7 separate regions of the Mus musculus genome follow, and all the other regions are reported to be linked to region 7. The links are microRNA targets in miRTarBase. Many come from high-throughput screens and were not tested one by one. Region 7 holds a microRNA gene; each other region holds the end of a gene's coding sequence.

Region 1 (4,370 bases), not on the chromosome of region 7:
ACTCAGACCCAGGAAGAACCACAAAGTGGTGGTGGTGGTGGTGGTGGGGGGGGGGGCGAGAGAAGCTGAGAAAGGGGAAGAGCTGGACAGGAGGTAGTGGTGTAGTCTGAACCGTGGGGACGGGCTGTCCCCCAGGGCCTTTGAGGCCTTAGATCAGAGGGTGGTGGCTCATTCAACTTTGATGCGGGGCCAGCCTGCCTAGGCTTCCAAAGTTTGTATTTCACAGGGTCCAGATGCCAGGCTGAACTAAGTGTAATGCCATCAGGTTCTTGTCCTTCCCCTCCTGGGATCTAAAGCCTATCTCATGAGGTAGTGTGAGGGTTGCCTGTGACATTACAGACATACAAGGAAACAGGTCAGAGACAACAAGGGTCAGAGCCAGGGTCACAGAGCTAGCTGGTGGCAGAGCTAAGCCATCACCATCCTTGTCACCAGCTGGACTGTTGGGGGACTCACCGCTTGGCTGAGGGCATCCCCTTGCAGAGTCAGAGTCCCTTTCACCTGGTCTGTGCTGTAACACACACGAGTCAGAGGAGCGCCTGCTACTGCTCCCTCCCCTTGCAGGCTGCCCCACCGTACCCTGGGCATTTCCTCCCCCCAGGTGTACACCCCTTCCAAAGGCTCCTGCCCAACCCAGCTCACCCACAGCTGCCCAGGATGAAGTTCTCCTGCTTGGCAGGGCCCTCGGTGCTGGGGCCTGGGAGAGTGAAGCGGAGAGAGGCCTCCTGTGGAAGACAGCGCAGTCCCAACACCTCACCTCAGTCTGGCCAGTGTTCCATTCCAAGGCCTGGATACTTTGCCAGGTTAGCAGGGGAAGGGACGAGGAGGGCAGGCCTGACCTGGCCCCTCTGCCTCTGCCCTACTAAACCTCCAAGATTTTATGAGCTCAGACCCGTTCATTCCAGTCCTGAGTATATCATGAGCAGCCAGGTGGAACACAGAACAGAGAGGCACAGTGCCTAGAAAGCTGGAGTGCTGTGATATGTGTGGGGAGCAGAGTCCCCGAATCAGACAATCAGTAGTCACAGTAACAGGCTTTGCTAGGTTACTGTCCTAGGCATTCTGTGAGATAGTTTATTTATCTTCACAAACAGACGTGTGAGCCTGGTTAGGGTAAGGGAACAGGCTCAGAAATCCGGGTAACTTGGCTGAGATCACTTCAGAGCTCGGATTATCAGTGTTGTTTTGAGACTGTTTTGTTTGAGACAGTGTTTCACAATGGAGCCTAAGGCTGGCTTCTAACTCATGAACCTCTAGCCTCACTCTTCCGAGTGCTGAAATCACAAGCTTTCACCACTACCCTGCTTGCTCACAGATAAATGTCAGTTTCGAAGATAGTTCACACTCAAGACCTGGTGCCCACTGCTTGTGTAATTACATGCCAGCATGTCTGCGTCTGAACTGTACTCTCAGAAGTGGGTATCTGCACGGGTCACGCTCAGCATCTGCTGTGTGCGATTGGCAGGACCCGGTGGATAGGAAGGATGGCAGGCCGGGCGGGACCAGCGGGAGCGTTACCTTGAGGATGTCCTGCAGCTGTCTCAGCACGGCGTGCACCTCAGCGTGCAGTAACCAGCGAAACTCCTCCTCCTGCGGACAGCGCGGCGTCAAACCCATCCCATCCCCGCCGCCGGTCGGCTGGCCGCCCGCCGCCCCCTGCCCGCCGAGCGCGTCCCACCAGTACTGCCCGCTCCGCGGCGCTCGCAGCCATCGCGGTCGCCATCCTCCTAGCCGCGCACCGTCTCTGAGGTCTGTAGTCAGGAGCTTGGCGCGCAACGCCCGCCCCTTTTTCGCCTCCTCCCGTGACCGATTGGCAAATAGGGCACAAGCTCCGCCCTCAAGCCGGCTACGCCTCAAGCGACTGGCTGTAGCTTCTAGTCCTGGCTGGTGAGTGGCTAGACGGATAGGCCACGCCTCGCCTTCTATCCGCCCGCCTCAATCCCTGTTTTTCAGCAGGGACCCGGGCTTTGGCCACCACTGATTGGTCGGCGGGGCCGTCCATCAAGTTATTCCAGTATTGTCCGGCTAGATGGAGCCCGCCCAGGGTTCCACCGGGAAAGAATCAGGTGAGTTGGCTCCTACCTAGGTCCCCCTAGCATTTGGGTACAATGATACAGTTATGGTACCAAGAAATGTTTTATTTTTTTTTCTTGCAGTAGCTTTGTTAATTGCACAAAATCATGTTTTGTTTTTTTGCCATTTAAACATTATCACACAATCCTATTCTGAAAGACAAATGTTCATTAAAAACAAAGTGAAAATAAAAATTCACAACCGTAATCACCTAGATCTGTCATTTCAAGGAAAAGCGGGAGTAGGGGCTTTCTTACAAGCATTTCCACAGTGTCACATTTTCTCCATAAAAGGAAAGGGTTTCAAAATGAAAGGTGAAATAGCTTAAACAGAAATAGTCATAAAAAGGAACTTTACAGAATTGTCAACAATATTAAGACAACATTGACTAACCGGTTTTCTTACAGCATCTTCCCCACCCCCAGCCCCCAGGACCAAGACAGGCTGTGTCCAGACAGAAACTGTTCAGCATCCCAGTGAATGGACAATTGCACTGAACTCCACAAGCATCCCCTGCCCCGTGCCCATGTCCTGAGATCCTTATCCCAGATGGAAAAGTTAAATCGTGGCTTTGAAAATCCAAACTCATGAGGAGGAAGGCTTCCTCGGGTGATTCCTCTCGTGTGACATTCTAAGCCTCTCTGGTCCCCTCTTCAAGGAGAAATGCTTCAAGTCCCAAAAAACCCAGAACTTGGAACCACTGGCAGAAGTAAGGTTCCTCATCAAAAGCCCAGCCTAGGAAATGCTCATCTAGGAAATGCTTATTATTGGTGTTGATCAGGCTGGGGCTGGGTCAAAAGAGGATGGGACAGAAATATCTCCATGGAAGGAAAAGGGGAAGAGGGACATGCAGGGGACCTGTGTAGAGCAGGCTGAACAGGTAGCCCAGCTCAAGAGCCTGGCGTAATGGAAACAGGAAGGAGCCGCCCATACACTTCACTGCTCCCAAGGCCCTTACGGCCCCTTCCCTTGGGCTGGAATGCAAATCCAAATGAAACCTCCTGGGAGGAACAGGCTCAGGACAGAAGACTGTAGACTCTGCTCCCCCTGAAGAGGGGTCTATGTGGCTATGCTGGTCTCTCTTCAGTTCACAGAGACACTCTGGGAGCTGCGGTGTAATGGTAGTGTCTACAGGAAAATCCTCCTCAGCTGGTGATCCACAGAGCCTCCTCAGGGAATCTGTTGGTTCATGATGGCTGAGGGGCCTCTCCTTTCAGGGGCCCAGTGGGGGCCAGTCTCTGTCCTGGGGAAGTTGAAAGCTTCCAGTGCTCCCTGTCAATTCTAGTCCCTCCAGTCTCTTGACCAGAAGGGGGCTAAGCTTGCAAGAACAGCCAGGCAGCAGTTTCTGGGTAGCTTCTATCCTGGGTGTGTGTGTGACAGAGACAGAGAACACAGAGGAACAGAGAGAATCCACAACCTCCTGCTCCAGGGTCAATCAAGGCCCAGCTCAAGAGCTTCTTCACAGCCACCAGGAGAGATAGATCCTCTTATCCCTGGCCAGGGCCTCAGGGAGACAGGGTGCTGCTGTGTACTGTGCTGATGCAAGTTTCAAAGTCTGTATAAAAGGAAATGGAGACAGGTGACTGGTCCAGAGCTAGTCCCAGAACCCTGACCCCACACTGGGAGGGGAGGTCAGAGGGAAGATGGGAGGGTAGATGGGCAGGCAAGGCTTAGTGTATGTAGGCTCGGTACACGGCAGACATATCATTGTCAGACTGGTCCAGTGCCTTGGCTCTTTTGTATACCTGAAAAAAAAAAATAAAAGAGGTAGAGGTTGGTCTCTAGCTACAGAGCTACTATGTGGTAGAGCCCTGATTCCTGGAGCCATTTCCAGATGGTTCTAGCCTGTTGCTTAGCAGGCAGGACCTAGAGCTTGAGATATGTGGGTATGAATACTGGCTTGATGTGGAGCAGATGGCCTAGCCTGTGGGCTTCTGCCACAGCCCCACCTGAAGAAGGAACAGTCACAACCCTCATGGCTCTATTTATACGCAGACATGTGAAGTGCTCAGTGCTGTTAGGAGTCAAGGTGACAGCCCTCAATGCAGTCTTCCGAGGATGTTGTATTATACTCAGGATCACTGTGCCCTTTCTTAAAAAATGGCTGACACCTCCCAACCAACCTTTCCAAAGGCTCCTTTGTGCTCATCAACACAGCAGCTGTGCCCATTGATATACCAGCTATCTCTGTTTTATTACCTTAGAGCCTACATACATTATTTTATTACTTTTGTTTTATTCAGTTATAAAATTTATTTTATTATTTCATGTGTCTGTTTGCCTGCATGTATGTCTGT
Region 2 (4,370 bases), not on the chromosome of region 7:
TTTCCTCCCTCCCAGGATGTGGAGATTGGCCCTCACGTGGAAGCTGTGTTATCTCTTCTGAGTACTCCAGGCCTAAGCCTGAAGCTGGTGCGGCCCAAAGCCTTGCTGGACAACTGCTTCCGGGTCATGGAACTGCTGTACTGTTCTTGCTGTAAGAGGCTTCCGGTGGGCGTGGATGGCAACTGTGGGCCAAGGGATCTGGGTCCATGTGTGTGGGCAGAGTCAATCAGAGGGCATCCCCAATTTTCTGGAAGCTGGATTGGGCCCTGAGTATGGGGGCAGGAGTGTGTGGTTTGGCTGTTCTGTCCTGCAGACCTTGTTTTTTTTCTTCTTCTGTTTCTTGCAGGTAAACAAAGCCCCATCTTAAAATGGCAGGACTGCGAGCTGCCCAGGCTCCATCCCCACAGTCCGGGGTCCTTGATGCAATGTACAGCTACAAATGTGTACCCTTTGTCTCGGCAGACCCCCACCTCCCTGCCCGGATCCCCAAGCTCAAGCCATGGCTCGTTGCCCTGAGCAATCTATGTATTGACCCTGGGTCGGGCCACTGGATGCATTTCAGAAACTGGCCTGGATCTGAGACCTTCCTGGATGGTGGGTAGGTAGCCCCTTTAGGAAAGGCCTTCAGGGAAAGGCCTCCTGCCTTCTCTTCCACACCCAGGCTTCCTGCCTTCTGGTGGTATCACGGAGCCTCAGGGGAGGGATGTGGAGGGGAGGGCTGGTTGCTATCCCTTACAGCCACCTCTGCTTGTGGCCCGGTCCGAAATCTGCAAACACTGTTGCCCCACAGGCGGGTGGCCAAGAACGACGGGGTGCCTCCTAGGATCCCAGGACTTACTGGGGCTTTTCAGTTGTGCTGACTGTGGGGTGCTGGGCCGAGGACCAACCAAATGCCGTATCTTGCCATGACGATGCTCTTCTGGTTCCTTTTTCTATTAAATGGCCATTTATTTGGTTTGGCTTGCATCTCTGATGGTGAACCTGGAGGGTCTGAGTTCTGGAGATGGAAGGGTGGGCTTCTGGAGCCCACAGTGGGCAGTCTTACTGGGGTGGGGGTGGGGGTTGAGTACTTGGCTCTTCCGGCCCTGTTTAGCTCGCGTTGTCTCAGCAGGCCCAAGTAATGTCTGCTCAGGTGTCCAGGTGCCTCTTGACCATATTTCTATTTGTTCGCTTCCTCTGGCTTTCCCCACAGTCCCCGTGGGAGCACATCAAAGACCAACCTAGGTCCTTGCCCAAGTTGTCCCTCACCCCCCAACCCCCCGCCCCTGAACTTAAATCAATGACACCTGGCTTGGAGTTCCAGGCCAGGGATGATGACAAAGGTATGGCGCAGGGGTAGGAAGCAGAGGTGAGCGAAGCCGGCAGCCCAGGGGAGCCAGGAGGAAGCCGGGGCGTTAACTACAGTACTGCTTTATTAATACTGGGATCTTCACAGTGCATTTGTTACTTTGTAGCAGTGACTATTTAAATCAAGGAGAGGATGGAAACCGGGGTGGGCGGGAGAATTTATCCCAAACTTGGCAGAAAGAACAGAATAAAAGTGATGGGCTGGGGCTGGGGGTTAGGGGAGGGTGAGTAGGAACAAGGAGGGGCGGCAAAATAAATTAAAAAAAAAAAATACAAGTTAACAGCACCAGAAAAGTTACTTCAGTCAAAAGACACATTTGAAAAGAATGTTTTGCTGTACAAATGAAATGAAATAAAATAAAATAAAATGTACGTGAAGAAGCCCCCAAACCAGTCTGTGATGCAGGATGGTTGGCTCGGATCCCGAGGGCGGGCCTATGAGAGAGGTGAGCACTAGAGGAAGTGGTGGTTGGTGGAGGAGGATACTTGTGGGTCAGACAAGGGGATGGAATATGTACAGCCCTGGGGGGGAGGGGAAGGCTAAAACTGGGGGTGGGCATGCCACCCCATCCTCTTCCTGGGAAGTCCCTGGCCTCCCTTCCCATCAGGGCCTGGAGTCCTCAGATGGCAGTGAGCCCATCCTCTTGGACCCCCTTCTCTAGGACCCAACCACACCCTGGGTATAGGGACCACATCTGCCCACTTGACATCCTGCATCCCTTTCCATCAGCCTTGACAGCTCTTTTGGGGAAGATGCAGCCAAAATATGCCTCAGGGTTCCACATCTGGCCATTTGTTTTCCTGGACTCTATACTCGGGGCTCTGGTGACAACTGAGTTTGGTGGGCCAGGTCTCAGACCCTGGAGATAACTCGCTAAGCAGCCTCGGGGAGCCCTGTGGTAACTCCATCCACATACAGGAATCCCTGCTTTACCAGACCTACTGGGCTGCCCTGCACTGGAGCACCCATGACCTTGGGCCCAGGTCAGCCCCAACTCCATTCCTTCAAGACCAAGGTACGCTCTCTGGACTCCCTGTGGGGGTCGGGCAGAATGCTACCTTGGAGTCTGCTGCCTGCTCTACCTCCCGAATCTCTCCTCTGGCTTACACTTACGTGCTTAGTCTTGCTCAGACTTGGGCTGACAGGGAGGCAGGACCCACTCTTCCTCTGGTCCCTGCTGCCAGCCCCAGCTAGGCCTGTAGGCATAGACTTTCTTGGGATGGTGTTGCCTCTGGCAACAGAAAGTCAAACCAACCTTCTAATACTTGCTCCAAGCCGGGCCTGCAGCTTGCTCAGATCTCAACAGACTGGCCAGAGTCCCTGGCCTACCCTCACCAGCCTTATTCTACCGACACTTCAGACACTGGCGAGAAGAGCAGCTTCCCCCGGTTTGGGGGGAGTGATTCTACCCTTCTCTGGCCTCGAGCCCACTGAGGGCTCCCACACCCCTCTCTCAGGCACTCAGACGTACACCCTGTACCACCAGCTTGCCCCACATAGTTCTTTGTCTAGGGTCAGCTCCATTTTATTACAGTCATAAAATAACCCCCACACCATCTAATGCTCCAGCCCTTATCTCCAGCAACAGGTGACACTGTAACCCGAAGGCGCCCCTAGAGTAAAAGCTCCAAAGTGTCCAGACAAGAACAGGGCATCCAAAACACCTGGTACCTCTGGACTCATTCCCTGTCTGCCTTGCCTCACCCCACTAGTTACTCTTCACAGGGAACTGGAGGGTCCCCTGAGACAAGGCCCCTACGTTCCCTCCCTCCAGGGCTCTTTCCCATGAGCAAGCCTGGCTTCCCAATGCCTGACTGTCCCTAAACCCAGTCACACAAAGATCCTCAGCTGATTGGGTACCTGGCCCCTCCGTGACCACCCTGTGCCCCAAAGAGAGGAGCCTGGGAGAGGCAGGGCAAAGGCAAGAGGAAATGGGACAGGGTCCAGGCAGGGAGAAGAGGGAGCCAGCATTCAAGGAAAGAGCTGGGCATATGGCCCCGGAGGACAGCCGGGCCAGAGGAAGAGAGTTGTGGACCCCAGGCCAGGTAGGGCCCCATGTAGCAGGCCCAGCCCTTGGTTATGGGCTCTGGGGTTTGGATGTAGCAGGGCCTGGAGGAAGGAAGAGGAGGTTTGAGTAGGTAAGGAAAGTATAAAACAGGCTCTGTCCTGGCGAGGTGTGTGAGGGAAGTCGCTTCCCGCGAGATGCTGGGATCCAGCCTGGTTGTCTTTCCGTAAAGTGGCTGTGCCTCACTCCTGACGCTTTGCTTTCTGTCTTCTGGCTGGGCCGCCACTCAGAGTGGCTGGCCGCTGCTCACAGATCCGGTCACCTCCTTGTGCCAGGCCCAGACGGGGAGGGGTGGGCGGCACCATCATAAGATGCGGGGCGCCGACCTGTCGTTGGTGACGGTCCTGCGCAGCCGGACCCCGCGACGAATGGCCACCAGCATGTCTTCGGCCGGGGGGTCACTGGTGGCAGCAGGGGGTGGAGTGGGCGTTTCCTCCGAAGGAGTGGCTGACAGGGCGGTAGGGAAGGGGAACTGGCCCTCACCCAGGGCGTGGGCACCGGCCACCAGCTCCCCAAGCTTCTCTACTAGGCTGTGCCTGTTGGCAGCCAGTTGCTGCTCTTCGTCCTCGGTGGCCAGCCCGACCGCAGCCCCGCCGCCGTAGCTAGCTACCTCTGGGGACTGGCTGCCCCAGGCTGTGTTAGGCAGGCTGAGCCTCTTTGGGGAGGCTTTGGCCAGGTCTGGAGCCAAAGGTGAGGCCACTTCGTCTGTGTAGAAGACGCACTCCTCACTGCCTGCCCGTGTGGGCCCCACATAGCCAGGGGAGTCGGGCACGGTGGGTGTCTTCACAGGGACGATGGGTGGGCGGATGGGGATGGGGCCAGCGCTGGAGAGGGCGCGGCGCACAGTGGGCTTGGTAGAGGGTGTGCGGCGGATGGTGGCCACACCGGGAGGTGCACCGGAGGGCAGCCCCATGGCTGTGGGCAGCCCTGCCGTGGGCAGCCCGGCGGTGGAGGCTG
Region 3 (4,370 bases), not on the chromosome of region 7:
CTCCAGGCCCTACAGCAAGATGCTGGTGGCCTTGGCAGTGACGAAGGTGAAGGAGGGGTGCTTGTGGCTCAGCTCTGTTGCAGCAGACCAGCTTGTGGTACACTCACCCAGACCGGAACAAGCTAACAGGCTCCCTCTGTCTTTCCAGGTGGGTTCATCAGCTTTAATGGCTCCTGGAGGGTCCAGGGAATCCTAGCCATGTCTCGATCCCTGGGAGACTATCCACTGAAAAATCTCAACGTGGTCATCCCAGACCCAGACATCTTGACCTTTGACCTGGACAAGCTGCAGCCGGAGTTCATGATCTTGGCCTCAGATGGCCTGTGGGATGCTTTCAGCAATGAAGAAGCGGTTCGATTCATCAAGGAGCGCTTGGATGAGCCCCACTTTGGGGCCAAAAGCATCGTCCTGCAGTCCTTTTACAGAGGCTGCCCTGACAACATCACTGTCATGGTGGTGAAGTTCAGGAATAGTAGCAAAACAGAAGAGCACTGAACCCTGCCAGATCTCAGCTGCCCCAAACTAGAGGACTCTCAACATACTGTTCTCTTCATGTAGTAAAAGGTGTGGGTATAATTAGGATCATGCGTCCCAACACAGAACCCCCTTCCCTGATGGCCTTGAATCCCTTTGGAGTACTGAGCAGAGGGTTCCCTTGCTGACACCGCAGAGGCTGCTAAGTTTGTGTCCCCCCAGCCCTTCTATCAGTGTTTGAAACACATACATAGGTAGCCACAGATCCCACATATGAGGCAAAGGAAAGGCAGGCCATATGTTTTCCTTCTTAATAATGTACTTTTCATGATCTCTTCTGTGGTCCTTCAGGGACCTGACTTGGCGTCCTCTCTGAACCTGGGCAGGGCAAGCTGGTGATGCCAACACTTCACCATGACAATGAGGTGGCCATGCCCTCTGCCTTGAAGCAGTTTCCTCAGAAATGCTCTCCCCTTCTGAGTCTTGGTCTTCAGTACTCCAGCATCCTGGAAGGAGACATGCAACACTTTGTAATTTGTTGCCTGCTCTTAGAGACTTGAGAGTTGGGAAGCCAGTGCAGCTTCCTGCACGCCAGACCTCCCCGCTTCCGCTCGCTTCCTTCATTAGTTCAGTAGAGTCGGGATGCAGTTAGCCAGCCCTTACGCCTCTCATGGAGTGCAGCCTCGCCATTTGTTCACACCTTACGATGCATCGAGGGCTGCCGCTGACCTCACCGTGAGACGTGAGTTTTTGTCTCCCCTCACCAAGACTCCCCAGAGAGGGGAGGAAGCAGGACGGAAAGCACATCGCAGTACAGTATGCCCTTCCATCTTCAAGGAGGAATTAGGCTGGGATGGTTCTCCATGACCTTTTGAAAATTGCTGTCTGCACTGGAGAGGAAGGCAGGAGTCCTGGGGTCACCAGTCACACTCACCAACTGCTGGTTTCTGCACAGCCCTTCCCAAGCCCACCCTACCTAGTAGCTTTCATGCCTTTCAAACAGAGGTGGGAGAAACAGCAACCTAGAATCACCCACGGGTGCTGTTCCCAGCTACCACCACAAGTTGGTATCGGGGCGCAAACTACTGGGACGTGCTTCCTGGCAAGAGAAAGACCTTTCATGGTCAATTGCAAATCTCTGTCCATACCCAGGCAAATAGGAACTGTCTGCTGTGACCTGGAGGGAAAGAGCAGACTGGCTCCTGGGGACCTGTGTGCACTGGTTGGGAGTTCAAGCAGGAACCCTCAGAGATAAGCAGCAGAGTTATTTGGGGCCTAGATTACTGCTCTTCCCTTACTAACACCAAAGTTGTGGGGGTTTTTTTCCCAGTCTCTGTACTTTGTAAGTTAATTTATAGGACATATTAGATTGTCCTGTTTGCTGATTGAACCAGCCCCAAAGAGCCACGATTTTCATTGCAGACCTACACCAGAGCCGGCCTTGTTTTGTTCTCTCAGAGAGGCTGTGTGTCGGCATGACTTCTCAAGCCCTGCTCATTAGCTCTCCCTACCCCGGCCCTCTCCTTCAGCTGCAGAGCTTGTAGGAAGCCGAGTCTGGAGAATGAAAGACTTGGACTCTGAGGACTGCAAACTGTCTGGATTCCTCTGGGAACTTGCTTTCCTTTGGCTGCATCAAGAATTAATAATGGCTTCCCAGGAAATCTGCTTACTTTTGTATCTTGTGTTTTCAACATTGGAATTAGGGTCTTTTCTGCTTCTCAGAATGTTTTAGTACAAAACACATTCTATCATGTTAGACAGAAGCATTGATTGTGGAGAGACGTGCACTGATGGGTGTGTATTATGGGTTAGGTGGGTGGGGAACAGAGAAGTCAGGTGTGGGTTTAACCAGTGATGGGATGAGCTTGTTGGCTTAGGATGCTCTTACCAGAGAGTACCCAAAACCCATCTTCTAACTAAAGGTCCAGACTCAACAGCCTATACAGTCAACTTCCCTTCTGTATTTGCTTAACACAAAAGTATATAACAAGAGGAAAAAAATAAATAAATTTGAGACACAAATGTTTGGGTGAAGAAAAAAAGAAAACTGCCAAGTTAGTTGGTTGGTACTCCTTGAGCAAGCAGGGTTTCTTAACCAGCATTGCTGAACCCCCCTAGTTCCAGAGCCTTCTAACTGAGGTTTATAGATATAGATATTATAGATCGATCTTGTACATTTGATCTTGATTTATAGATCTTGTACATTTTGCTTTGCAGAAGTAACTTATTTAACCAAATAGGAAAAAAAAAAGAATATATTTCACTCCTTTCTTGCCTCTTCCCCCCTCCCGTGGCTTGTAGACTTTTTTAAAGATAGAAATTCTAGGCAAAATGGTAGTATTTTGATAAGTAGTTACACATAAGGCCAGAGTAGCTCTTCTCTGTCCCCTCCTGACCTGTGTTCAGCTGTGGGGAGTCTACAGTTTGGTGTGGGCTGGGTGCTCTGGCCACTCCCCTTCTCTAGCAGCTCTGGAAGGGTGACTCTAGCTGCAGGAGACTCGGGTTTGAGAGGGTACACGCGAAGCTTCCATAAACAGCACTGCCAAAGCTTTGGGACCGTGCCCAAGGCTACCCGGACTCCCTACCTAGCCTGAGTTCTAATTGCCAATAGTCCCCACAGTGCCAAACTTGGGAGAATGTTACAGTGTTTGAGGAATAAGTTGATGCCAGCCCCAGGCCCTCTTGAACCCTAGCCCTGCTGCTCCCCTGGCGATCTGTCCTCCTCAGGTGGGATAGGGTGAGAGGGCAGGGGCAGGGATTTTAAAGAACTCACTGCATTTGCAGTTGTTTAATCATAAAAATAAATTATACGGACCTAGAACAATCCAAAGCTAGTTCCTGAGACCTGTATTTCTAAACTGTGACCAGCTTTGCCCAAGCCCCTCTGGATCACTGTTCTACCATATGGCCGTGTGCACTCAATCCTGGTGGCTGGTACGCTCTGCCCCTTGCTGTGACTGGAAGGGACTGGCCCCTTGAATCTGGTGTATGTCAAAACATGACCAAGAGAAGGCTTGGTGACATAAGCACAGCTTCTGTGATGCAGGAGTAGTGACGTGGACATTTTGCACTGCCGCCGATGACAGCACGGGAGTGCTAGCATTGATGTTTTCATCCTCTGAGGAGGCTCCAGGGAACTGGCCGCACTGTTGGCCGGAGCTTCTGGAAATGCATGAAAGAGTCACAAAAGGAGTGACCTTTTTCCTCTGCCAGGTGTACTTTGATTTCCCTGTTTGTTTCTTCTCATGGTCCTCCTCTTCCTGATTTCAGAGATTTTTTTTTCCTTCCTTTGACCCAGGATTACACAGATCTCCCTGGAATAGTCGTCCAAAATAGCCTTTGTTTGTTACACCAGCACTCCTGATTCAGCTCTTTATGCTGGTCAGATAGGGTGGGGGTGGGCGGTATGAACTATGAACCCTGAACAGCCTCTGGTTACATCATTCTCATTTAGGACTTTGGGCTAGTTGGGTGCATCTTGCAGGAATAGAGGAATCTAGCGGTCCTCAACACGGTCCTCAACACAAGAGAACACGTATGCTAAAAATGTTTTTTCAGGTACATGGTTTTCTTGTCAGAGAAGTTGGGGGAACCATACTTCACAGTGCGAAATAAATTCATGACCAAGCTAAATGTCAAATAGGAGAGGAGAAAACGCATACAGAGCCCTAACAGAGTGTCTGTGAGCTTCATGTTTTCCAAATGAACTCGATCACAGACATGTCTGAGTGACCCTCCTGACATTTCAGTGGGCTCTTCATTACCACCTTGGAATGACGGTTTGTAAATCAGAAGCACTGAGCTCTCGCCTGCAAGGCTGGCTTACAGTAGAAGCAGTATTGGAATGTTATGATTTAATATGACTGACAGTCTCCCATTGACAGCAGAAGGCCAGC
Region 4 (4,370 bases), not on the chromosome of region 7:
ATGAAAATGGATGGCCATGGTAGCTGCTCTAGTAACTGAGGTGTGATAAACACAATAATGGGGGTGTGTGGTGTTGCCTATGTTAAAGCTCATGAGAGCAAAGGGCAAGAGCCTGGAGGGCTGTAGGTAGAACTGACAAGAATTGGGCAGATCCTGGGACCTGAAGACACCGTGAGGGCACAGAGTTCAGGCACAGAACCTCTGCAGCAATAGAGGTCCCATAGTGGTCATGTCCCAGCGCTGTGCTCGCTCACTGGCTGCCTTAAGAAAGTGCTCTACCTATCACTAGTCATGGTGCCCGGCCTGACCCAGCCCCAGAGCACTGATTCTATCAGTCATCGTTTAACTTGGTGATGCAGACAAGTGACATCACACAATGTGCCCTCATCACATATACCTCAGTACATTCGGATATGAATCACGATTCTTGTAAAGTCTAAGGGGACAGGGAAGGATGCTCCTGGCTTCTTTATCCCAGAAAGGACCTTACACAGAGGCATAATGGCTATCATTCACTGGGGACTCTGTTTCCTTCCACCAGTGGTAGCTGGAAAGTTAGTAATACTGACTTAGATATGAGAGATGTTTAATTAGCAGAGGCCATGTGTCCAACCAAGGTGGTTCCTTCCCAAGGTATGGCACACATTTACACACCCCCCCATCCCCATATCTAGGAAGCCAATCCTGACATGACTTTCCACATAGAAAGACTTTTCTAGTACACAGCCTCTCCAATTCAGAGAAAAGGGACATGGTGTCTTCGTGTGAATGACACCCTGCTAGAAATGAGCAGCTGCTGGGGTGTGGAGGTCCCAGACACTGAGCACACATTCTTGTACAAGCACCTATGTTCTTATTCATCTACCACTGGGCAGGGCCCCTCACTCTGCTGTTATTCCTTTTGGCCCTGTGAGTGGGTTGGTCTTGCCTGTCTTCCCAACACCCCATGAAACACTGGCTTCCAGAACCAGCCGAGCAAGGTCCCAGAGATCCAGCTCCTGTTGGGTGGACTGAGTTGACTCTGGGTCTGGTCTTAACTCACTGTTTGATCAGGAAAGGTGGCTGCTGAAATCTACTCAAAATCTATTGCTGAATCCACATAAGGTCCTTGGGGCCAATGCCCATACGCTCTTCAAGCCTGTAAACTATACCTATTCCTGTGAGCCACAGAAGGCTGGGCAGGAAGACCAATGAGGTATACCAATGTCCCAAACTAAATGGCATGCTCTTCTCCCCCACCCCAAGAGGAGGTAAAGAGCAAGGAGGGAGATTGTACAAACATCTTTTAAGCCAGCAAATTGGAAGGATGGTTCTTCCTATGTAAGTATCCCCAGAATATAGCCACAGACCCTACCCATATCCCTTCCAAGTGCTAGGAACCCCTAGTAAGTTCCACTGAGTGTTTCTTTCAACAGACTGACCCAGGACAAAGCCAAGATGGTCCTTGGGTGTCTGGGGATGCTAAGAAAGATGAATTTGTGTATGTGTATCTGTATGTGATATTTTCACTGGATATAGTTTGCAAAACCACACAGCTCAGGGATTATTTTATGTATAAAGATAAGAAAGGCTAACCCACAAGCTAATTGAATCATGCAAATAATTGTTTAGCCATGGGAGAGATTCCTGTGGGCAGGCTGAGCGCCCACATGAGGGAGGACAGCTGTGGAGGGCAATCTATTTTATAAAGTTTATCTGTACAAAATAACTGCTGTAAGATTAATGGGGGCGGTGGCCCCAGCCCTTGTTCTGCTTGGTTCTACCAGCTGAAATAGGAAAACAGATATATTTATCATAGACATTTGCTGCAACTGATTAGCATTAATCTGATTTCCTGTGAGTCAATTTCCTTGAGATATAGTAAACAGGCCAATTATCTGCAATGGACCTCTTTTATTATAAAGATTTGGACATTAGTGACAAGCATGTATGCAAATATATGGGCTTTATTACAATCTGAGTAACACAAAAATAGCGTCCAATCTGTTAAAAATGTCTAGCTGGGTGTATATATTGCAAACAGAATGTTAAGACAGAGTAGGGAGAAGGGTAAGGGGCCTTTGCCTTTTGATTGGCACGTGAGGCCCATTCTTTCCAAACCTTTGTTCCTCTCTAACTGGCTAAAAAAATAAACAGGACAAAGCTCTTGGTATTCAGAAGACCATCTAGCAAGTTCCAGAACTGCTATTAGGTCAGAGGAACGTGAGTGCCGAGGGTAGCAATCCTGGGGTCAAGGTGGGCCCTGGGTTGTCCCAGGTCTGTGCTTCAGTTTCTCAGTATATAAACACAGGAAGTGAAGGGATGTGAGATGGTCTAGTGAACAGTCTAAGGCTTCACCAGGGACAGCACCCGACAGCTTTACTGTCACCTCCACCTTCACTGACCATGTATCTGCTAGCCCAGTTCCCAGCAAGTACCATCCTCCCCACCCCACGCCCACACTTGTGTTAGCTCAAGGAACAGAGACACACATGGCATGTAAGTTTAATCAGGAAAGCAAAGTTTATTCATGTTTGAAACTACATATAACTACCACAAGGAAGACTTTTCAATCCAGGGTGTGAGCCAGTAGAAAGGAACACGGAACGCTTTTAATACATCAGAATCACCGCCACAAATTATTGTCACGACCCAGTCAGTTTCAGAATCGCATACAATACAAAAAGAGAAGGAGAGGGCCCGCCACACAGGGTGAAATGTACAGTGCTGAATACTGAATCTGAACGCATCACAAGAACCCGCCTTTTTTTTTTTTTTCTTTTTTTCCTTTTTCTTCTGTATGGATTAGTAACAAGATGAAGAACATTCAAAACGCTTCTCAGTATTTACAACAGCTTGGATGATCCTGTGTTAAGAGTCAGACCCAATGTTGCCAATCTTGGCTTTTTAAGGGTTGCAAATGCAACCCTGAGTTTTCTTTTAAAAGATTACAATGTACATTACATTTTGTGAAGGGAAACAAAGAGTTAATTACAAGATGCAAAAAAGATAAGAAAGAGACAAACTACAGCGTGAGTATTGTTCAGAGGTAGTAAGTGAGCGCTCTAAGCTACAGAACATGTTGGGATTCTATTGGTTTGTATGAGTTCGCATGAGGTAATAAAGCTGTGTTTTGATTGGTGGGATGTATAAATACTCTTTTGCTACACTATATACAGCACTCCAGAGAGCAGGGCCTTTCCAGGCTGCCCAGAGGAAGAGCACACCTTGACAAGTCTGTGCAGCACCTAGCGCACACGGTCAAACCCCAGACAGGTCTTGTTTTCACCTCTGTAGCAGCAAGATCTTCATCTTAGGGCAATCTGGATCCATGGTCTCATTAGCGCAGACTCCAGGCTCTGGTACTTCAGAGGGAGAAAGGAGGCCACCAGTCTTTGACCTAATTACAACATAAGAGATGGCAACACAAACATGGCAAGGGAAGTCCTGAAATGCCTTCCTTAAGAAGACAGGCAGACATCGCCTTCCCTCCAAGCCCATCCGTGATATGAGAACGATGATGAGAGCCTGCATGGAAATCCGCAAGGGTTCAGCTTAGGCAGGGTGAACCTTGCCTGCTCTATAATTGGGGTCTAGCATAGATGGTACTTCTTACCCTTAAGGCCAAGGAACTGGCAACTGTGGAACCATTAATGTAAAAGACCCATAATAAATTAGGATGAAACAGTTAAAGAAGTGTCAACAATGTTACATCTTGGCCTAATTGGATAAAGTGCTTTCTTTTTAAACGTGTGTCTTAAGTTTAAATACAAATGATTATGATTCCTTAAAAAACAGGTTTCCCGAGTTCTCTAAGAAGACAGGGTTACAGTAAAGCTGTAGGTGGTGGGTTACAAACGCTTTCCTTCTCCTAGTGCTCCAAATGCGCTTATCAAGGCATGTCAGCTGGGAAAGCGCCGGGGATTAGTTAGAGGTATCCGAGTGCACACTGCCCGGGCCTTCCGTAGGAGAAGTCACAGAAGATGGAGTTGTTGCGTCCTGCCAGCCTCCATTAGCCTGAAAGAAGAGGTACAGTTCAGTGGGTATACGTCTACATATTAATTCCACTCCCCAATTTAGAACACCCAGAACGACAACAGGAGAGCAAAGGCGCATTAGCAAGATGTATTTTCTGAACCCACGTTGGCAGGAGTTGGAAGCATGTGTTAAAGTGGAATTAAATGCATGTGAAACAAATCCATCCTACCAAGTAAAGACTTAGTGATAAATCAGCTTGGTGAAGATGACTTCAACTAGTCCCAGGCTGGCATGGAGCTTGGCCTCTGATCTGCTGGTGAAAATCACCATTCAAAAGCAACCTCTCAGAAGGTACAGTGGAAAGGCTCAAAAAGATGCCTTGGTGCAACCTTACGCTCCAGGAAGCAGACACT
Region 5 (4,370 bases), not on the chromosome of region 7:
AATGTTAAAAAAAACTTTCTCAGGTTCAGTCTGGTTGGTGGTGCATACTTTTAATCCCAGATTCAGGAGACAGATCGCTGTAAGTTTGAGGCCAGCTCCAAGACAGCTTTTACAATAATGATTCTGCACAAAAGAGATTGACTAAATCCTCAGAACTTTTTACCCATTCAGTTTCACATGTGAACAGTAGCTTCATTACATGATGTTGCATAGGTAGACACTATTATGTACAACTTTATTTTCTGTTTTTAGAGAGAAGTTTAGCCCTTAGCTCCCTGAAAGCAGCTGGCAAGTCTGAACCTTCAAGCAAGTCGCGGAAGCAGCTAAGAAAGCAGCCAGACTCTCTAGACTCCGTCAGCTCCTCCGTTTCTTCATGTCTATCAAACACTACATCATCTCATGGCACTAGAAAGCGATTTCAGATTTATTCCAAGTCTCCATTTTACCGAGCTGCTTCAGCTTGTGAGGCCCAGGGAACGGAAGGACCGCTAGGCCAAGCCAAATCCCTAGAAGACAGGCCTCAGTTCATCAGCAGAGGAACCTTCAACCCTGAAAAGGGCAAACAAAAACTAAAGAATGTGAAAAACTCACCTCAGAAAACCAAAGAGACCCCAGAGGGGACAGTCACATCTGGCCGAAAGAAAACTGTGGACTCAGACTGCAGCTCCACACAGCAACTACCACTGTTTGGAAATAATGAGTTTATGGTCTAAATGGACAGATGTGTCCCCAGATCTCATCTTTGGGGCCTCTTCTGGTCACCTTGTTTGTAACAGTCGGTCCTAATGGTCCTGCCTCGTTTCAGCAGACAGATTGTATGCTGGATCACTGGGCTTCTGGCAAAAGTGGCCGCTTTGAAGTTTGCTAGGGATGGGCCAGCTGTGCCTTGGCTGCTGTATTTGATTTGAGAGTCCACTGAACAAAGCCACCTGGGACCTGGGGGATTTTGGCCAATAATAGTTGCTTCTTGCCCACCTACTTTTCCCTTCCCACAGATAGTTGCTGAACTAGGGAGCTATTGTGATCCTGAGGTATGCTCTCATTTCTAGCATTTAAAGAAAACATACAAACCTCTGTTAACCATGGAAACAAAAGCTTTTGAGTTTGTATTGGAATAGTTAGGAACTGTGTTAGAATATAAAAATTTCCCCAAGGATTTATAAGCCCTCTATTTTAAATTTAATTACAAAACATTCAATGTTATCTTTTGGAAACCTAAACTGATTTCCATTAAGCCCAGAGTGTCTCAGCTACAGGAATGTGAAGAGACCATGCTTTGTCTCTTGTTGATATTTGGTATTATAGTCAGTGCTGGTTTAACGCTTGGTTAATTCCTGCCAAATATATTTCATGGGGTAAAGTTCTGGTAGCCATACTGTATTGGTATGCCCTGATTATAGATCAGACTCCTCTAGGTTTTTGTTTGAAATATGTCACAGGCACATTTAGGTAATTCCTAAATGTGAACGCATCATCCTGATTGATCCAAGCTTTTCTTTTTGTATAAACTGAAGACTGTATCCGAGCCTACTCATCTGCTGGTGGAGTACCACCATAGATGTAACCATTTCATCACTTATCTAGGAGTACTCACATACATACAACTGTGCATGAGTGTTATAGAAAAAGCCGCCAAAAGAAGTCTAGAAAGTTTAAATATGATCTATTTAATTTTTGTCTTCTTATCAGACCATCAGTATTAGATGAAAAAAATCAAGGACTACTTGAAGCTATTTTTGTTAATATTCTTGTTCCTGAAGTTTACTGTAAATACACATGTATAATATGCCTAGTTCTTTTTAACCTTGTGCTTTCCCCTTATTCCCATTGAGTTTCTCCCTACAGATAAGAGGCCATTAGACAGGTGGTGAGAGCCATTCACCCCCGGGGTGAGGAATAAGTAAGGGCATCTTTTTCATCACTGGTAGTTTCCATAAGTTATAATGTCAGAAGCATCATGTACTAGCAATTGTGGGACTAGAACTCTGTTTTTGCTATTTATGTTATGTGAAGTGAAACATGATACCATTTCTTAAGTATATGAAATGTTTATTTTTAAAGTCACTAAATACATTTTGTCTAACTACCACATGCACTGTTACAAGAAGAGCCTTTAATATCCATAACCTGAATTTTGGTTTTCTCCTCCTCCTCTTCTTTTCCTTCTCCTCCTTCTCCTTTTTTGGTTTGAAGTTACAGGAATAGAAGTCTTTTGTTAAGGCAAGGTCTCTCCTCCTACACAACACTGAACCTCACGCCACTGCAATAGTGGTCATTGGCCGGCTCTAGAGATGAGACTTGTAGCATTATTTTGCACAGCAGCTCATGGTGGCTGGAGTCTTCCCTCTCCATGGTATGGGTTCAGCATTGAGACACATGAAGGAAGTTTTGAAAATCTCCCCGATGATGATGGTCATTCAGTAAATGCTAACTTTTATATCCCTCCAGCATTAACAATAAGAGTTTTGGAAACTGTTCTACAGGAAGCCAGCATGGCTGTGATATGGTGGGGTGCTGTTTTGGGCCTTTCTGGCTATACAGTCTGTTATAGTATTTGGGGAAAGTAGCTGCTACTGGGTGGTAACTGTTGCTAACTGTTGCTCTCCACTTGGCTCAGAACAATTTCCTTTGTTTCAGAGGAATGTCCTGGAACTCAGCACTTGACACACATTCTCCCTCCTAAAGTTTTACAGCTCAGTTTTTTGTTTTTATTATTTCTATAAAGTAAATTTGGGGCTGAGAAAAAAAAAAAACCAACCTACCTACATAGGTCACCTTGTAGGAACTAGGTAATCAATATTAAAGACTTTATAATTTTTCTCAGGGACCTAAAACCTGAATTTGAATAAAGTTAAATAAAAACTTTTTTTTTCATTTGCTAGATTTGTGGATTTTTTAATCATTTAACAAGCCGCCAGGATGGGTGGGGGAAATCCACACAACTATAAGAATGTCTCGGCAAAGTGTAGGTCCCTGTAAGGAAAAGAGTGCTGTTGTTCTTGGGTTAGCAGGCACTATTGATCTGATAGAGACGAAGCCATAACTCAGTAGTGTCAGATGTCTGGCTCCATCAGTTCTTAACAGAGCCTCTGAATCCTCACCCATGATACAGATCCACATAGAGTTCACTGTTATGTCTGTCTAGCTGCTTTTCTTCAGTCTTAAAATGCACCAAAAGAAACTCTCTGGCAGCAGCAGAGTGTCTCACATGTGGAACCTGTGCTCCAAACTTCAGAGCATCCTAGTTATGTCACATACTTCTAGTCCACAATAACTCCTACATTTTTCCCTACTCATTAATATGTGTCTGTAGCTGTGTGTCATAGAAAATGTAGCAGAAGCAAACAATACATTTTGCATCACAGACTGAAGCAAATTACAGCAAATGCAGGCAGGATTCAGGGAGGTGACACACTTAGTTTGCACATATTTGTACTTCCTGCCATTTTGATTATATGACCATTCTAGGTCATACACACAAACGGAGATATGAGTATTGCTAGGAGAGACAAAAGGATGTGAGTTCAGGGCACAGGTCACTAGGGCCAGCTCTCAGGCTTTGGAAACCTATCACTCTCACCTTGCATAGGGTATGAAGACTGTTCTGTGTCTCAATCAAAGACAGTGTCACGGAAATGTGCTCATATGAGGTGATACATTGAGGCTGTATCATTCCACCTTTGTGCCTGTGAGCTGTGTTTTCAACTGTAACTAATAAGCTAGAGCGAAGGAAGGATTCTCAGGTGTGTGACGCTGAGAGTTATAACTGGAGAAAGAAGTTTGTCCAGATGGCTTTCTCACTTTAAAAATTCTTGGTGGGGAAATAGATGTGGGCCCTGCATTCTTCTGTGTTGAATGGTGTGTTATATGCACCCACACACTTGTGATAACTTCCTAGCACTGTGTCCCAACACCATGCTGGCCTTAGTAGTAAAATTTTTTAGGTATTTGTAGAAGACCTGACTTTCTGCATCCCTAAGAGACCACATTTCTCTGGAACATTCTCACACTTTTGGTGTTAAGTGGGTAATCTCCAGTGTATTAGATCTTACTGATCTCCTGGTTTAAACTTCAAAAAAGCCCTAGCAATGGGTCTGTCACCTTGTCACCTGTCCACTCTTAATGCCTATTTATCAGCCCTCTTAGGTCATATAAGAGTTGCACCTCTTGAACCAAGTATTTGTATTTACTATGGGAAAGGTGTAGACTACAGATTAGTATTATATTATTTTAATGGACTCAAAGTAATTTATAAGTATGGTGAGTGTAAAGTTTTAAAATACTGTGTATTATAAAAGGACACAACCTGTGAAATATGCCACTTTACTGTTTAAGAATTCTATAAGAATGACTTATTCACAGAACTGATT
Region 6 (4,344 bases), not on the chromosome of region 7:
TACTTACATATAATAAGTAAATAAATCTTAAAAAAAAAAAAAGAATCCCCCTTTGGTATTTCATGTTGATCCCTCTGGAGAAATGTGCTGTGGTTTGAACATGAAATACCTTCACAGGCTCATCTGCTAGCTAGTGGTAGTGGTTGGGAGGTTGTGGAACCTTCTAGAGACAGTCTTGCTAGCGTACATCACTGGTCTTATTCTCCTTCTGCTTCCTGACTGCCTGAGGGCTTCATGCTGCAGCTGCCATGTCTTCTCTAGATATATTCTTTTCCATCTTTGAGCCAAAATGGGCCGTGTCTTCCTGAAGTTGCTTGAGTCAGGGTATTTTATAATAGTAACAGAAAAGTAGTGACAATAGAGAATAAAAAAACCATGTAATTTAGATTGTAAAAGTTTATTGACAGAAAGCAGTAAGCCAGACATTTGGTTATCTTTGCTATAGTATGTATCATTTTTGAACAGTATATTAAAAATACATAATGAATTATATTCAAACCAGTACTAGAAAAGTAAATTAAGAATCTACTTAAGGCACTTCAGATAAAAGCTAAATTTAAAATTTCCACAAAAGTAACACTATTTTAAATGAGAAAATCTGCTTTTCACAGATTTTAGCCAGAGCAAGCCTTTCTCCATACAAGAATGTTGCTCTTAAACAAGGAGAAAACACACAAAACACTGGCCACGGGAGGCACCAGCAGCTAGAGATAACACAGTAGGAGTGTTGCCCAGTTCAACTTGACAAGTCTTCACACTAGTTTCCTAAGAATCACAGCGTAAATTCATTTGGCAGAGACAAGTACATGAATAGCAGATAAGAAATTAAGAATCACTCAATTTACAAGGAATGATCCTTCTAGTCATCAAATTTGTAGCAACCACAACAAATCACCCCCAAATTTTTTTCCTGGGTCAATTATGTCCATCTCTTTCTATAAACTCCATTATATAAGACATGGGAAGGCTATTGCATGATCAATAGCAGGGAATAGTCACAGTATCTTTTCTTGTTTTTTGTTTTGTCTTTGGGATAGAGTCTTTATGTAGCTCAGGTTGGCCTTATACTCACGCTATGCTCAAGGATGAGGGTGAACTTCTGGTTCCCATCTGTCTCCCGAGTGCACTGGGATAACACACATGTGCTTACACCCATACCCGGCTTATGTGATGTTGTGGTTTGAACCCATGGCTAGGCAAGCACTGTATCAACTCAGTCACATATCCATGTCTATATTTTAAATGTAGTTTCTAATATGTCTTTCCATTTTTCAGTTACATTCCTAGATTTTTGTGGTATTTGGGATTGAACCCACAGCCTTTTAAGTGCTCTAGCACTGAGCTCCACTCCAAGCCTCCTGCCTTCTCTCTCTCTTTCTTTCTTTCTTTCTTTCTTTCTTTCTTTCTTTCTTTCTTTCTTTCTTTCTTTCTTTCTTTCTTTCTTTCTTTCTTTTTTGAGACAGGGTTTCTCTCTATAGCCCTGGCTGTCCTGGAACTCAGAAATCCGCCTGCCTCTGCCTCCCAAGTGCTGGGGTTAGAGGTGTGCGCCACCACTGCCCGGCCTAAGAGTACACTTTCTTAACAGTAGCATTTTGGATCATTTATTTATTTATTTATTTAATGTACAGTATGTAAGTACACTGTAGCTATCTTCAGGTGCACCAGAAGAAGGCATCAGATTCCATTACAGAGGGTTGTGAGCCACCATGTGGTTGCCGGGAATTGAACTCATGATCTCTGGAAGAGCAGTCAGTGCTCTTAACCACTGAGCCATCTCTTTAGCCCTGGCAAACCTATTTTTTTTTAAAGATTTATTTATTGTTATATGTAAGACACTGTAGCTGTCTTCAGACACACCAGAAGAGGGCATCAGATCTCATTATGGATAGCTATGAGCCACCATGTGGTTGCTGGGATTTGAACTCAGGACCTTAGGAAGAGCAGTCAGTGCTCTTAACCACTGAGCCATCTCTCCAGCTCCCTGGATTATTCTTAATAACTATGGTGAAAGCCAGAGTCAGCCATATTATAACCATGATTTAAATATTCCTCATAGAAAACTGGTTAGCATATATGGTTATTTTCACTACCAGGAAAAAAAGATAAAATTCAAACAAAATCCCTTCATAGTTTTCTTTTCTGACATATTTTTGAGATGAGGTGTTAATATGATGCCAGAATGTGTCAAGTTCTTGGTCTTCTTGGATTCTACTTCAGCCAGCAGGGTAGCTAAGAGCAGAGGCAGGTGCCTGCTACCATTCTTTGTATCTCTAATTGACGGGGTAAATAAAAAGCTAAACTGATAGCAAAAGCAGATTACAGTCAATGGTGGCACAAGCCTGCAACCCCAGCACTTGAGAAGCTGAGACAGGAGGATGAATGTGAGCTGAAGGCGGGACAGCTCTCCCTAAGAGAGGTAAGAGCAGCGAGAGCTCTGTCTCAAAGACAGGTTTCAAGAACATTGCTTTTAGAAAACCGGCACACAAAAACAAAAATGAAAACAAGAGCCATAATAGGTTTCAAGAAACACTTATTTTAAAAAAATAGCCCCATGTTTTACGAACATGTGTTTTAAAAAACAAAAGACCAGGTTTCAAGGAACAGTCCTTATCAAAACAAGGAAAAATTCACAGACCAGGTTTCAAGAAATCTTTCTAAGGCATTGGGATTGAACACAGAGTGTAACTCTTGCTAGGCAAGCACTATACCTCTGAGCCCCAGCCTCAGCTTGAAAACATGCTACTTTTCTTCCTTCCTTCCTTTTTTTTTCTTTTCCCCTGGATACAGGGTCTCACTATGTAGCCCAGGCTGACCACAAACTCACAGAGCTCAGCCTTCATCTACCACAGCCTGGCAAACCATTTCATTTCTGTACCTAGGCAACAAATCAGTATTTCATGATTGTGTTTTCTCATTCTTCTAAGGGAGTCCTTTCCATGAACACAACTCAGCTTATTTTTCTGTTACATAAGAATGAAATCAATAACAATGCGTAACTTACACAAACATTTGAGACCATTTATAAGTTATACTGATTTTTAGCAAGAAACTATTATTGTTAGAGAAGGGCTACTTTAAATAAAACTAGAAACAGAATGAGAAATCTTTCCATGTACAAGGTAGTTATAGCACACTCATGCACAAATCATAGTCTTTAGTTAGAGGTACTTCTGAATGTGTAAAAGGAGGCATATATGTAGCTGATTTCAGGTGGAAAGACACAGGAAGACATGTATCTTTCCAAAGGCGACACGGTCCATTTTCAGATGACACAGTGTATATGATACCTGGGCCCAAGAGGAAAGGTCTGTAAAGCACACACATCTGCACAAAGAAGGAAAAGGAACAATGGCTTCCAGATGCAGTTGTTTGCAATAGGCAGAGGTGGAGATTCCTGCTCAGAACCTTCCATCCCCAACCTTAGATGAGATAAAATCAAGTTAACTATAGTAGTTTTGAGTTTTTCTCTAAGTAAAATGAAGTAGTAGTTTTAAATGTTTATAAAGTACTTAATACTACAAACCCCAAATGTTTCCTAAGTTCATTGGGAAGGGAAGGTTAGGAGGAGCACAATTCCAAACACTTCATGATCTTTACAACTGCTTGTTAAGGCACTACACATCTTTGGTTTAATGATTAACTACTTAGATCACTTGACAAAAAGAGGTAATATAAAATATGTGAGTTGCATTCTTCAAACACCAAATAGTTTTTATTTTTCAGTTTCCATTACCAGTGTCAATGTTTCTCTGGAATCCTCTTTAACTCATCAGAAAGCTGAAATAAAATATATATCAGTATATTAGTCTCTGAAAGGAAACTAAGTTTTACTTTTAGTATAAAAGCAGGTTTATTGTGTGGGGGGTAGCAAGGACCTGGAAAAGGGGTAGAGGCAGAGAAGGACAGAAGAAGAAAAAAGGCTGGCTGGGAACACATGAGAAGAGAGAGGAGAATAAGAAGGCTTTACTTTTTTTTTTTTTTTTGGTTTTTCGAGACAGGGTTTCTCTGTATAGCCCTGGCTATCCTGGAACTCACTTTGTAGACCAGGCTGGCCTCCAACTCAGAAATCCGCCTGCCTCTGCCTCCCGAGTGCTGGGATTAAAGTGCACCACCACGCCCGGCTTACTTTTTTTTTTTATTGTTTTTTGAGACAGGATTTTTTTGTGTAACAGCCCTGGCCGTCTTGCACTTGCTTTGTAGACCAGGCTGACCTCAAACTCAAAGAGATCTGCCTGCTTCTGCTTCCCAAGTGCCGGAGTTAAAGGAATACGCCACCACACCCAGCTAAGTTTGACATTTTATAAATACATAATATGTTGATTTTAATATATGTACCATGACCTA
Region 7 (4,370 bases):
AGTGTGGCCGTTGCAGGAGGCTGAGAATGTTAACAAAGTCTTGTCCTAATTGACCAGTGAGGTAACAGGAAGTTTCTCCCACCGAGCTGAAGCCTGGAGAAGGCAGAGTTGGTTATGGGAGGTTATGTGAGTGGACTGTGCAGACCCAAGAGAGGAAACTGCATGGACAAAGCAGCCCCTGGGCTGCTGTGTGACTGAGTTTGATGTCAGCTTTACACGGGTGGAGCTTAAGGGAAGCAGGAACCTCAATTGAGAAAAGGCCTTTATCAGGTATTTTCATGATTAATGATTTAAGGCCATTGTGGGTGGTGCCATCCTTGGACTGGTGGTCCCAGATTCTATAAGAAAGAAGACTGAGCAAGCCAGGGGAAGCAAGTAAGCAACCAGTAAGCAACACCCCTCTATGGCCTCTGCATCAGCTCCTGCCTCCCGGTTCCAGCCCTGACTTCCCTCAGTGATGGAGTGTGGCCATCATTGTAAGCTGAATAAACTCTTTCCTGCCCTTTTCTTGAGTCAAGGTCCTGTCACAGCACCAGGATGCACACTAGGACAGCTGGGGAGAATTGCACAGTGGGGGATGGTTAGTGACTGCATTAGAATGTCACAGATGATAGGTGTTGAATGTTAAGAATGCCATGACCCACCAGACAACAAGTCCACATTTTCTTGGTATCAGTCATGCAACTAGTGGTTGCTTTGTGTGGCGGGCACAGAGTTTTATTGAAAATTGGGCTGGGGCTCCATGGGTACCGTACCCAGTCAAAGCATTTGAAATTCTGAATCCAACACCGTGTATGCTAGGCATGGTTCTCAGGGACTGGAGGCAAGAGAACTCAGTGTTCAAAGCCATCCTGGGCTACATTCAGAGTTAGAGAAAAGCCTGGACTACAGGTGACACTGTCTCAAAGCAGGCAAAGTGAAAAGAGTGAGGAAAAGAAAACAAGAAAGAGAAAAGAATTTCAGGGTTTTCTAGAAGTACCTTTGATGCCAATCCCTCTTTTAAAAGTTTTATGGCCGGGCAGTGGTGGCGCATGCCTTTAATCCCAGCACTTGGGAGACAGAGGCAGGGAGATTTCTGAGTTCGAGGCCAGCCTGGTCTACAGAGCAACAGCCAGGTCTATACAGAGAAACCCTGTCTCAAAAAACCAAAAAAAAAAAAAGTTTTATGTATGCACATGCTTTTAATTCAAACACTCAGGAGGCAGAGGCAGGTGGATCTCTGAATTTGAGGGTAACCTGGTCTACAGAGTAAGTTCTAAGACAGCCAGGTTTATATACAGAAACCCTCTCTTTTTTTTTTTTTTTTAAATGTAATTCTTTTTTTTTTTTTTAAAGATTTATTTATTTATTATATGTAAGTACACTGTAGCTGTCTTCAGACACCAGAAGAGGGAGTCAGATCTCATTACAGATGGTTGTGAGCCACCATGTGGTTGCTGGGATTTGAACTCTGGACCTTCGGAAGAGCAGTCGGGTGCTCTTACCCACTGAGCCATCTCACCAGCCCCAGAAACCCTCTCTTAAAAAAAAAAAAAAGAAAAATTTTTATGTGTGTTTATTTATTTGTGTGTGGAAGCATGTGTGTCACAGGACATGTATGGTCAGAGGACAACTTGCAGGAGTTGGTTTTATCCTTCTACCCAGTTGATCCTGGGGCTCAAGCTTGGGTTCCCTAATTTCAAAGCACTCTTTCCCTCTGAGTTACTCCACTGGCTCACCATTCCCTATTTGAGTCTCCAGAGAAAGCACGGTGCTGTGACCCAGGGCCCTGAGGTTGTGTCTCTGATCCTATCATGTAGATGTGTTTGAGTGACAGGCCAATAGCATGGGAAACACTCCTGCACTCTCCCAGGGCCCGAGACCTTGCTAGACACCCTCTCCTGTCCGTGCTAGACTTCCCTTAACCCCCTCCTGTCCCAGTTTCCTGCCCCTACCTGTTTGTGTATTTCAGGAGAAAGGTGATAGGAGTCCACGCTATGAGGCTGGCTGTGACTTGTTGTCATATCATATCAGAACAACAAAATCACAAGTCTTCCACATAGCACTGGCTCACGTACTCCGCTCCTCGTCCTCATCCTCCTCCGCCAGGTTCAACACCCTCAAGTGCTTCTCTCTCTCTCTCCATAGAGGATTGAGCATAACAAACCCCACTCACTGACTTACCCTCCCTAGACATCCCTTTTCCATTCCATCCCCTGAGACACAGGCAAGATTCATTCTCTACCTGCCCCCCAACTCACACCCTGGCACATCACCAACGTGGGATTTATTGTTCCAGGCACGAGGAGCACACACTTGTCACCCCAGCACGCAGGGAGTAGAGGCAGGAGGATGAGAACTTCAAGATCATCTTTGGCTACACAAGGAGTTCAAAGCTTGGTCTACAGTGTTTTAAAATAATAATAATTATATATATAATTGAGAGAAAAACTCTTTTTAAAAATAAAAAGAACTTGAGATTTAAAGTTGGATTGAGGCTGGCTTTCCCCTCACCACTTCACTTTGGAAATTAGTACACCCAGAGGCACTCATAACATCTCGTTGACCAAATGCTTCGCCTGTACTCTGTGAGTTTGAAGCCAGCCTAGTCTACATAGTGAGTTTCAGAACAGCTAGAGGTACACACAAAAAAACCCTGTTTCAAAAAAGAAAAAAAAAATCCCTCCGTAAAGGACAAATGCCAAGAACCATTAAGAGGTTCCTTCCCTGTACACTCTCCGCCAGAACAGACCCCAAGGCGATCCCTGAAGCTGGGTGTTGAGAGCTTGGCACTGCCAGGGGCCGGGTGCTGAAGCCTAGTCTCTTCGTGACCCGCTGGGAGCTGTCCGAAATCCTGGTGCTGAAGCCGAACTCTGCTCCGAGTCCCTCAGCCGGATGGCGCTGTCCGCGTCTCCAGTGCTGAAACATAATTAGTTATTGGGGGAGGGGGTGGTCAGTGCGGCTCGAGGACACTCTCCCAGCTTCTGCCTTCTGCCAAAATGCCCCGCTCCTTGTTTCTGTTCTTCGTCCTAGGGACCCATCTTCTGTTTTAATCTCTTCCCATGGACCCGGGGTGTTCTAGGCGGGGACGAAGGCGCAAGGCTCTCACCTGCTCCCACATCTCAGGGAGACAGCCCTGGGTTCTCTGCCCTTCCTAAACAGTCCAGTTGGCCTTCTGGAAGATGTGCCAACTTGCATTGTACCCAGAGTCCCCGCTTCCCTCCCTCAGCGCACCTTTTCCTCCTTCCTTCGTGCCTTACCTTCTCCTGCTCACCAGCAGCTGCAGGTGTCTCGGTGGCTGTCCAGTTTCCGACGTTTCACCTTTATGCGCTTAAGGGGAAGGCGGAGCGCTGGAAACCCTGGGTGGGGCTTAGCCAGTGAACCAATAGGAATCGTCTTGGAATGAAGCTCCAAGGATTACCTCATAGGTTGAGGCCTCGGCTTCAGAATAAAAGTCAGGCATCCGTCCAAAAACTTCTTTAGGGGTCTCCAGAAGGTGTCAGGGTGTAGTCCTGTGGCCTGTTAAGTTTCCACGAGAGGATCATCTAAAACCTGATCACTGAGTAGCCAGAGGATTAGCGATCATCAAGCGTGTGCCTGCTGGGACAGAGAAGCTGAAAAAAAATGTTTGAAGAAATTGAGGGATTTTGAAAATAAAGTCCAATTCTACACAGGGAAGATGAAGTGTGCGGGAATGAGACTCACAGAAGCGTAGGATAGAGGCGGAGCTCTGGCGATTTTTGTTTTGTTTTGAGTTAGGGTCTTGATTTGTAGTCCATGATGACCTCAAACTTATGATTCTCCTGCCTCAGGCTCCCATCAGGAGTTTGCCTCCACACTAGATTGATGCAGTGCTGGGAATGGAACTTAGTGCTTTCTGATTGCTGGGCCAGCGCTCTGTCCCTGAGCCCTAGTCACAGTTTCCCCCCTCTAACACAGTCTCTCTCACTTTTGTGATCCTCTTGCCTCAGCCTTCTCAGCACTGGGAAGGCTGGTGTGTGGCACATCACACACCTTCATTTACATAGCTTCCTTTGTAGCACCAAAGGGACAGACAGTCAGGGAGGACACACACTCAGGCTTGTAAATCTCCTACCAGCTCCTCAGGCTGCGGAGCTGGCAAGCCAGGTTCATTCTATACACCCTAGGGGCATGGGAGGAGGGGCTGCAGGGAACCTGGGATGAGACCCTGGAAAGCCACCTGCAAGATCTAAGCTCTGATCAGTTGTCCCTTTCCCTTCTAGCAGTCTCTTGGGTAAAACTTGCATGCCCCACGCCCTTTGTTTTTCTCTCTTATTTCTTCCCATTCTTTCAATTTGGATATGAACCCAGAGCCTTGCAGTCCCTCAAAGAGCTAAGTCATCTCCCTGAAATTATAAGATTTATTTATT

The links. Region 7 holds the annotated microRNA mmu-miR-7b-5p (UGGAAGACUUGUGAUUUUGUUGUU, at 2,014-2,037, opposite strand). A microRNA usually pairs through its seed, bases 2 to 8, with sites in the 3' UTR of a target mRNA and lowers its output. Matches are read on the target gene's strand: a 7mer-m8 pairs with bases 2 to 8, a 7mer-A1 pairs with bases 2 to 7 and ends in A, and an 8mer does both.
Region 1: miRTarBase lists Glyr1 as a target of mmu-miR-7b-5p. The part of its 3' UTR that is shown has no 7-base or 8-base seed match.
Region 2: miRTarBase lists Mtss2 as a target of mmu-miR-7b-5p. The part of its 3' UTR that is shown has no 7-base or 8-base seed match.
Region 3: miRTarBase lists Ppm1l as a target of mmu-miR-7b-5p. The part of its 3' UTR that is shown has no 7-base or 8-base seed match.
Region 4: the mRNA of Pbx3 is a reported target of mmu-miR-7b-5p. Seed matches in the 3' UTR shown: 7mer-m8 at 2,539-2,545.
Region 5: miRTarBase lists Myo9a as a target of mmu-miR-7b-5p. Seed matches in the 3' UTR shown: 7mer-m8 at 2,338-2,344.
Region 6: miRTarBase lists Magt1 as a target of mmu-miR-7b-5p. Seed matches in the 3' UTR shown: 7mer-m8 at 3,224-3,230 and 7mer-A1 at 1,739-1,745.

The regions. Positions count from the first base shown.
Region 1 is chr16:5,011,785-5,016,154 of GRCm38, forward strand. Glyr1 (glyoxylate reductase 1 homolog (Arabidopsis)) reads right to left here. Exons shown (of 16, transcript NM_001079814.1): 16 at 2,118-3,818. The coding sequence ends at 3,744. It overlaps Rogdi (rogdi homolog), which reads right to left and starts at 1,769. Exons shown (of 11, transcript NM_133185.2): 1 at 1,679-1,769; 2 at 1,519-1,590; 3 at 643-725; 4 at 457-511. The coding sequence starts at 1,723.
Region 2 is chr8:110,738,425-110,742,794 of GRCm38, reverse strand. Mtss2 (MTSS I-BAR domain containing 2) reads right to left here. Exons shown (of 14, transcript NM_198625.2): 14 at 1,394-4,370. The coding sequence ends at 3,718. Il34 (interleukin 34) reads left to right here. Exons shown (of 7, transcript NM_001135100.2): 6 at 16-151; 7 at 347-966. The coding sequence ends at 516. Among named protein-coding and RNA genes, the nearest start is that of Gm15894, 15 kb to the left of the region's middle.
Region 3 is chr3:69,552,680-69,557,049 of GRCm38, forward strand. Ppm1l (protein phosphatase 1 (formerly 2C)-like) reads left to right here. Exons shown (of 4, transcript NM_178726.3): 4 at 149-2,725. The coding sequence ends at 495. Among named protein-coding and RNA genes, the nearest start is that of B3galnt1, 44 kb to the right of the region's middle.
Region 4 is chr2:34,168,978-34,173,347 of GRCm38, forward strand. It overlaps Pbx3 (pre B cell leukemia homeobox 3), which reads right to left. Exons shown (of 9, transcript NM_016768.2): 9 at 2,480-3,996. The coding sequence ends at 3,904. Among named protein-coding and RNA genes, the nearest start is that of C230014O12Rik, 63 kb to the left of the region's middle.
Region 5 is chr9:59,924,319-59,928,688 of GRCm38, forward strand. It overlaps Myo9a (myosin IXa), which reads left to right. Exons shown (of 44, transcript NM_173018.2): 44 at 253-4,370. The coding sequence ends at 713. All of the region lies in intron 2 of Gm20275 (predicted gene, 20275), which reads right to left. Among named protein-coding and RNA genes, the nearest start is that of Gm20275, 15 kb to the right of the region's middle.
Region 6 is chrX:105,967,703-105,972,046 of GRCm38, forward strand. Magt1 (magnesium transporter 1) reads right to left here. Exons shown (of 10, transcript NM_001190409.2): 10 at 382-3,777. The coding sequence ends at 3,762. Among named protein-coding and RNA genes, the nearest start is that of Atrx, 41 kb to the left of the region's middle.
Region 7 is chr17:56,240,684-56,245,053 of GRCm38, reverse strand. It overlaps Mir7b (microRNA 7b), which reads right to left and starts at 2,066; the gene lies at 1,956-2,066. It overlaps A230051N06Rik (RIKEN cDNA A230051N06 gene), which reads right to left and starts at 3,338. Exons shown (of 2, transcript NR_155493.1): 1 at 3,240-3,338; 2 at 2,249-2,898.